2 linked regions of the Macaca mulatta genome follow. The protein of the gene in region 2 interacts with the protein of the main gene of each other region in a pairwise test. Links are inferred from orthologs where the notes say so. Each region holds a gene or a part of one and is shown on either strand. Other genes may lie near its edges.

The links. The genes of interacting proteins can lie anywhere in the genome.
Region 1: the proteins of VBP1 (region 2) and PFDN4 interact in binary tests that used the Homo sapiens proteins (3 or more experiments, as listed by UniProt). The link is inferred for Macaca mulatta from reciprocal best matches to the Homo sapiens genes VBP1 and PFDN4.

The regions. Positions count from the first base shown.
Region 1 is NC_133415.1:107,034,945-107,039,148, reverse strand, and holds the start of PFDN4 (prefoldin subunit 4), read right to left. Parts: upstream 2,804-4,204; 5' UTR 2,694-2,803; coding exon 2,670-2,693; intron 1-2,669. UniProt on the Homo sapiens protein: Binds specifically to cytosolic chaperonin (c-CPN) and transfers target proteins to it. Binds to nascent polypeptide chain and promotes folding in an environment in which there are many competing pathways for nonnative proteins.
Region 2 is NC_133426.1:161,508,942-161,512,900, reverse strand, and holds the start of VBP1 (prefoldin subunit 3), read right to left. Parts: upstream 2,810-3,959; 5' UTR 2,795-2,809; coding exon 2,600-2,794; intron 1-2,599. UniProt on the Homo sapiens protein: Binds specifically to cytosolic chaperonin (c-CPN) and transfers target proteins to it. Binds to nascent polypeptide chain and promotes folding in an environment in which there are many competing pathways for nonnative proteins.

The DNA.
Region 1 (4,204 bases), on a different chromosome or scaffold from region 2:
GAACGAGATAATGTTCGATGGTGACAAACGTGATGATGAAAATACAATAGCTTAGGAGAAGAAAGTTTTGGGGGCCTGGGGAGTGAAGGAGGCTTCTTTAGATAAAGGTCAAAGGTAGCCTCTCTGAGGAAAGAACATTTGTATGTAGGATAATCAACAGAAATCAAAGTGCAGATCTCCTTATGGTCAAGAACTGGATCTTAGAAGGCAGAACTTTAGAGATGAGAGTACTGAATCATCTCATCTAAACATTCTCCCCAGCAAAATCATGACCAGTTGAGAGATAACGATGTGTTACAAATGTAAAGTACTCCAGATTGTACATGATTTGCTTTTCATTAAACTCAAAGGGCTCTCTCTCTCTGTCTCACTCTCACTCACTGGCATACATGTTTGTTTTCTCCCATTGAGGGCAAAGGGGAAAAGCGTACATGTAAGATAATCTATCGGGAATTGTTCATAACACTGGAAACATCTACAGGAGGACATTACATCTATCATGTGACTCTCAAAGGCTTCAAAGTTAACGAAGATCTTTTATATTTTGGCCACCACCTACCCTTCTACAAGTTCTTTTCCCATCATGGCTCAAACTTTCTTCCCCTGATTATCTGCCATCAGGCCTTCCTTGTATTAAATGTACTCAGAGTCTCTGCAGATACTCCTCTCTAGAATGCTTCATTCTCTATCCAACTCTCCCTTTCTTTCCTTACATAATCTCACAGATCTCAACTTAAATGGCACTTTCCCAGGAAAGCCTTCTCTGATCTCAAAACAGACCTCATTTTGGCCCTCATTTCGTAAGTACTTTTCCTTCACAGTTCTCACCAGAGAAACTAGTTTTCTGTGTGACTATGTGAGTAATGCCTGCCTCTGTCCTGGAACATACGTTCTTTGGGGCTATAAGAATAAGGGGAGAAGAACTTCCTCACTGGTCACCGCAGTTGTCTCCACTTAAAACTGAGACTATGCCATATTACATGCCCCCAAAAATTTACTGAATCAATGAAAGGGGGAAAACAAAAGTTGATAATTAGAAATTTTGCAATCAAAATCCAGGGTTCAAATCATTCTTCTGCCATTTCCTCTTTGACCATTTACTTCACCTCTCTGCACTTCAGTTTCCATACCTATAAAACGGAGTGAACCACAACTAGTATCTTTCAAGGAATTAAAGGCCATACCTAACACCAGAGGGCCCAATTTCACAAACTAGAGGTGAAGTGAATCTCACCAAGTTTCATACTGTTTTGAATCACCATGGCCCTGGACCCTACTCTGGGACTCAGTAAGAATTTTTGGATGGCAGAATAGTAGGGTGAGCAACACATCTTGAGTTAGCTGGGGCGTTCCCAGTTTTGGCAGTCCCTCAATTTCATATAAAACGGGGCAATGGGTCACCCTACACCAGGCACAGATGGCATAGACTATGTGGTACTGGATGGGGGTAAAGCAAAGGAAGTTCTAATGTGGTCTTAAAAGTGGAATGAATGCAAATCCCGCCAGCCAAGAGATTCTCATGGAAGACCCCCTATAGCAGTTTAAAACTCAGACTCCGGAGTCAGAATGCCTGTGTTTAAATGCTAGCTTTGCCTCCGTGCCTGTTTTCTCATTTGTTAAATAAGGATAAAAACAGTATCTCCCCTAAAGTACATAAGATAAACAATACACCCAAAAAAAAAAAAAGTACAGCTATACCTAGCACACTGTAAAGCTCCCCAAATTGTCAGTCGTTATTTCCTTCCCCCTCTCCACTTTTCTTTTTCTTCTGTCTAGCTATCTTTACACATCTGGGAAGCCACGGATTTATAAACCCGACATGGAAGTTTAGCCTGCTTAGTGGTTACATAGGTGTGCTTTGAGAAAAACCAAACCAAACCTGAGTTCGAACTCCAGCTCAGCTTCTTACTAGCTGAGTCACTTTGGGGCCCCTAACTGCTCTGTGTCTAAGTTTCTCTACCTGCAAAGTGGGGAGGAACCCATTGCACTTGCTGAGCTGCGGGGAGGATAACGGATAAAGGGCCGGCTGCTGGGCCGGCAGATCGTCCGTCTTCAATAAATACTGGTTTTAGCCTGGAGGACTCAGGGGCATAGAGCGTGGACATGGGCAGCTCCGGGTTGGACACGGGGGCTCTTGGGCCTGATAATCCGGGGATGCAGGAACCTGCTGTCCCCCTTATGAGCTGCGTAACCTGAGGCAGGTGACTTCCCATCTCTGGGCCTCAGTTTCCTCACCCGTAACCACGGTCCCAGCAGCAGCTACCCATAACCAATGAGGCTAATGCGATCATGCCGGTGCAACGCCCGAGTCAAGGCCAACCACACTCAACGAGACCTTCGACTTCCCACACCTTAGGGGCAAGGCTGGGGCTGCAGATTCCTCAGACTCCCCGGGGGCACCCTCGGCATCGCGGGAGGCGGCCCAGGGCCCTCGGAGGCTCCCGGCCCCAGCCCCGGCTCCCCGCCTCGGCTGGCCAGGTGCCTAGGAAAACGCTCAGGGCGCCAGGCGCGGGCAGGCCTTGCCGCGGGGCCGCTCTCAGGGCCTCGGCCTCGGCCTCGGGTCCCACGCCGGGCTTCGGAGCTGCGCACCCCCAGCATCCCGCGCCCCAACCCCCGCGGCCGAGATTCGGCGCCACCCGCGCATCCAGAGCCCCGAGCGCCCCACTCACCGCCTTCTTCATGGTGGCCGCCATCTTGGGACTGGACTACGGCACGCGGCGGGGAGGGCCGCAATGGCGCGCTTCGTCCTCGAGCGTTCTCTCGCTCCCGGTCGGCCCAGAACTCCCCGCAGAAATACAACACTGTCTCCACATTCCCTCCTCTTGGACTTTTGGCTAATGATTCCAAACGGCTGGGACGTAGGGAGGAAATGTGACCTGGAAAGACTTGGTACATGCCAATTAAAGGGACAGGCAACCCCCGTGGGCCGACATAAACACGGGGGTGTGGCGAACGGCTCCGGCTGCGGGCAGCAGGGTGCGCGTCCCAGGGTACGCGTCCCTCAGCGTGGCGGGGACCAGCTGGGGCAGGATCAAAGGGGAGGCTGGGGGAATTTTTCTGCATCCGTCCCACAGACTTGCATTGAGAAAGCTGACCTCCCTGTAAAAGAGCTAGGAACGAATGGCCTTGGCAAATAGGGTGTGAGACTTACGTGCCATGATAATTCAGGTGGTGTAAAGGAGGAGGCGCTCCTATCTTTTAATGTAATTTTTTTAAAAATTTAGATTCAGGGGGTAGGTGTGCAGGTTTATTACACGGATATATTGCATAGCGCTAAGGTTTGGGTTTCTAATGATCCCGTTGCCCAAGTAGTGAACATAGTACTCCCTAGGTAATTTTTCAACACCTTTCCCCTGCCTCCTTCCCCGTGTTTGGAATCCCTAGCATTTGTTGTTCCCATCTTTATGTCCATGATTACCCAGTGTTTAGCTCTCACTCGTAAGTGGGAACATGAGTGGTTGATTTTCTGTTCTTTGTTAATTCACTTGGGATAATGATGTCCAGCTGCATCCATGTTGCTGCAAAGAACATGATTTTGTTCTTTCTTATGGCTGCATAGTATTCCATGGTGTATATGGACCACGTTTTCTTTATCCTATCCACTACTGATGGGCACCTGGGTTGATTCCATGCCTTTGCTGTTGTGAATAGGCAATCCTATTGATTAATTTACAGCAATATTACTGAACAGTTACTGTATATTCTGACACTTGTATCTCCCAATTAGTAATTTTTTTTTTTTTTTTTTTTTTTTTGGCCTTAGGATCTCTTTGTACTCCTAGAAATTATTGAGGACTCCAGAGAATTTTTATGTGGGTTATTTATCGATATTTGCTGTATTAGAAATTAAAGCAGAATTTTAAAAATGTAGTTATTAATTCATTTAAAATAATATAAAACTCCATTCCATGGTAATAAAAATCACACTTTAAAAATACCTATATTTTCTAAGACAAAAACAAATTGAGAAGACTGTCATCGTTTTACATTTTCACTGATGTCTTTAATATCAGGCTTAATGGAAGGTTAGATTCTCATGTGTACTTCTGCATTCAGTCTCTCCAAATATACTGTTTAGTTGTCTAGTTGTAGGTATGAAAAACCCCAGCCTCACACAAATCATGCAGTTGGGAAAGGGAGGCCCTCATGGATGCCTGAAAAGGTCTCAGGGACTCCCGACGTTCATGGACCACAGCTTGAGAAC
Region 2 (3,959 bases):
ATGGAAACTTAAAAAGATGCTACAAGAGCTGTCTAGTACTTTACAGAAGTCTAGTTCTTTATTATAAGTAACTTCAATTATCTTATAGCTTTTAAGATCTTCAAATCATTATTCTTATCCATATTTATTAGCTACCAGAGAATATCTTAGCTGAAATAAGGAAGAAAAAGGAAGAGAAACACAGCAAGGGAGTGAACTACGAAGCCATCAAACTAGAGACAGTAAAGGAAATTGAAAAGGTGAGGCTGAGTTCTGTATGTAAAAGAGAGATGCCATCTTCCTAGAAGGGTCACTGGAGGGAAGAGAAAGAAGTGTAAGTTTCTAGCACATGATACATGTTATTAGGTGCTGGAGTTCAGCAAGAATTAACTATAGCAGCATAGGCTGTGGTTAAGAGACAGGAGGTGCCTGGTTTGAATCCTGGCTTCACCACTCACTAGATGAGTTGACCTTAGGGAAGTTAATTAACCTCTCTTTGCCTCAATCTCCTCATCATCTGTACAAGTACCTTTTCATCACCAGAAATTAGCATAGGTGAGATGCCTATAAGAGTACGTGACACCTATCTATAGCATAATGTGCCACAGGAACACAAAGTGCCAGGGATTTTGTTTTGGGGTAGAGGTCAGCAAAAACTACAGGGGGATGATAGCTGAACTAGATGTGGAAAGATGAAGAGGTCATGAAATGGACAAGGGTGAAAGAACAATTCAAGCAGAGAAAGAAAACAAATTACTGCCTCAGTGGGGTTGGGGAATGGACTAGGTCTGACTTCTAACCACTATGGTACATTGCCTCCTATCACCATGAACATTAATATCTATTTGACACCTACTACACTGCAATACTGCAAGCATGTCCTCTGTTTCCCATAACAACTCTCTAAGTATTGTCATCCCTATTTCAGTTAAAGAAACTCAGGGCCGATAATATTTCTACAATACCATGTCACTTCAATTATTAATAGTTTAGAAACAAAAACAGTTATATAAAATTTGAGTTGCTTATTACATTATGCAGGTAGAAATTTTAAGGTCTAGAAAAAAATAACCATGACATTGTAGGGAAAAAGCATTTTAAGACATTATAAAGCCCTCAGATAAAGTGTCTCCTCCCGAGTTAGATTTCTGAGGCCATCTCTAGCTGAGCACTATGAATGTAACATTTAAGGCACTATGGAAATTCAATTAGACACCCAGTTTGAACTTATACTATGTGTCAGGCACTGTGCTATGACCAGGAGGAGTGGGGCGATGCATGAGAACTCTCTGCTACTTACACTACCCAGTAGCAGAGCATGAAGGGTAAGCCGCCGGTCTGGACCTCCACAGATTGCCCAAGTTCAAATCCTGGATTCCTCACTTATATCCTGTGTGGCCTGGGCAAGTTACTCAAGGGCCAAGGGCCCCGTACCTCAGTTTTATCATCTAAAAAACGGGCATAACAGTAGCTACCACCTCGAGTTTTGTAAAATTAAGAAAGTGCCCGGCACTCAACAAATTTTATTCTTTGTTATGATAATAGGTCAATGTAGAGAAATAAATGACACAGCTCATAAAAACACAAAACAATAACCAAACAATTACGAAATTCAATCAGCAAATGCAAATATACAATATCAAGTGTGGTATAAATAAATGAGTCTTTAGGATATAAGACGTGGTTAGTGAAAAAGGCAGAGGTAAGGTAAGGTACAAAACAAACGGTTGAGAAACTTCCATGAAGATTTTATAGTAGCTAAGTGGGGACAGACAGATGACCTGGCCTGGAGGGCCAGTCAGACGTTTTCTCTCATTAGTCAGATAGTTTTCAACTACTATTTCTAAATTAAATAAACAAAACGAAAAATTTTTAAAGCCACCCAGAACAGGCAGCGCCCTCCAGAACGGCCTCTGGAGCGACCCGATCCCCTCTCGGACGCTAGCGAACCTGGGACCTAGCGCCATCACGAGGGTTCAGTCTCCTCTCTCAACAATTCATTCTCCACTAAGTTGTCAGAATGATGTACCTAAAACGAAAGGCCTTCTGATGACAGCCCGTTGCCTACCGGAAAAACCTCAATTCTTTAGCAAAACACAGAAGGACTTTACACTCTCACCCTATCATCCTACTTTCCCATCGGTCTCTTCTTCCATTTTCCCCGAGGCAACAGACCACTGCATTCCTTCAACAGACAAGGTGATATTCCGTTTTCACATCTTAGCATTGGCTGTTCTGCCTATTCATTGTACTGTCTCTCCAGCATCCATGCTGAGTCGAGCTCCTCACCACCTCCCCTTTTCCAACCAGCAGGGGGACGAAAACCGGCGGCAGCCCGGAGGTCCCTCAGGCCGCCCTGACCCGCCGCCCTCCGCCCCTCGCCCCTCGCTCCGGCCCCAAACCCCGTTCTCTTCTAGGGCCTTCTCGAGCTACGTTTCTTCCGGGCGGGCCCCAGCAGAGCTCAATCTATCCAGGTGCGAAGAGTGAGAGCAGACCGAGCGCCCCCTCCCTGAACATTTAGCTCAGCTCCTTCCAACAATCGAGGCCTGGGTGGGAGCCGGGAAGAAAGGGGCAGTCCGCGGCCTCAAGCCAAGATGCCAGGTAACAGCGTGCCTCTTACCACAAAGACGGCCTCAGGAATCCCCAGGTGGAGCCGCCGCCCATTCCCTGTGGCCATTTCTCCTTTGCCACAACTGTCCTTAGCGGCCGCCATCTTGGGGATGCGAGCGCGCGACTGCCTCCCGGGCCGCCGGCCGCCGGGATTCCGTGATTGGCTTGTTAGCACTTGCAGGCCCGCCTCTCCATGCACATTCATTGGTGCGCAGGGAGGGTCCCCCATAAGCCCCCGTTCTCCTATGGCCGAAAGTAGCCCAACCTGTAGGTGCTCATTGGCTGCCCTCAGGTAAGTGACAAGCGTGGAAGGGCCGCGGAAGAGAAGCTAGAGCGACAGGAAAAACCCTTAGGCCCTCCTGGGAAAAGGGGATTTGTGAGTGAGCGGTGCTAAAGCCCTAGGAATAGGGACCTAGCCTGACCCCACCCCGACCCTAGAACTGGCAGCAGCCTTCACAATGGCCTCTGGAGCGACCCAATCCCCCTCTCGGATGCTAGCGAACCTGGGACCTAGCTCCATCACGAGGGTTCAGCCTCTGTGCCTTTCTGGTCTCACCATCCCAGGGAGCTTTCTGCCCCTTGAAGGGAACTTACTTTGTGTCTGTTTCAGAGTGGTCACTGGCCTCATTCTAATAAATACCCTGCCTGTCGCACCAGCCTTTCCTGAAAGCCACCTTTGAACAGAATGTCTTCTCTCCAGCTCAAACGTTTCCAAAACTTCATAGTCTACATACAAAATCCTAAGAACTCCACCTAGGCTTCTAGGACCATGGACTTACCCAATGTCATCCTACACTACAACCCTTTAAAAGCACATGTGTCATACAGAACCAAGTAATTATTCCTCGGGCTGTTTTCTGTCCTTTCTCTTCTTTCACTGGAGTGTTTTCCAGTGAGGCAGTGCTTCATCCACTTGCACAAATTCTACCATGAGCCTAAGAATTATGCAACGGAAAGTAAGTCTCTCTTCTCAGAGGCAATCACTGTTACCGGTTTATCTACACAGATAATGTACGATCAAGCATATAGACATAGATATGTCCTTATATATAATATGAGGAAGAAATTGGTATCGTCATATTGTGAATGAGGAAACTAAAGCTCAGTGAACCTGTACAGCTTCTCCAAAATCCTACAACTACATAGTAGTGAAGCCGGAATTCCAAACTAGTTCTCCAGTGGCTTCTATGCGATTTGGCTTGGGAGGATGAAGACATGTTAGCTAACCATGACTCTGACTTTTTCTGGTCAGCAGCTTTGTGAGATAATGTCTCTGTTCCTGGAGAGAAAAGTATATGGGAACTCTATTCTTCACCACTTTCCCCCACCTCAATGCCTTCCAAAAAATTTTTTTGTTTTGGAAAAGTAGG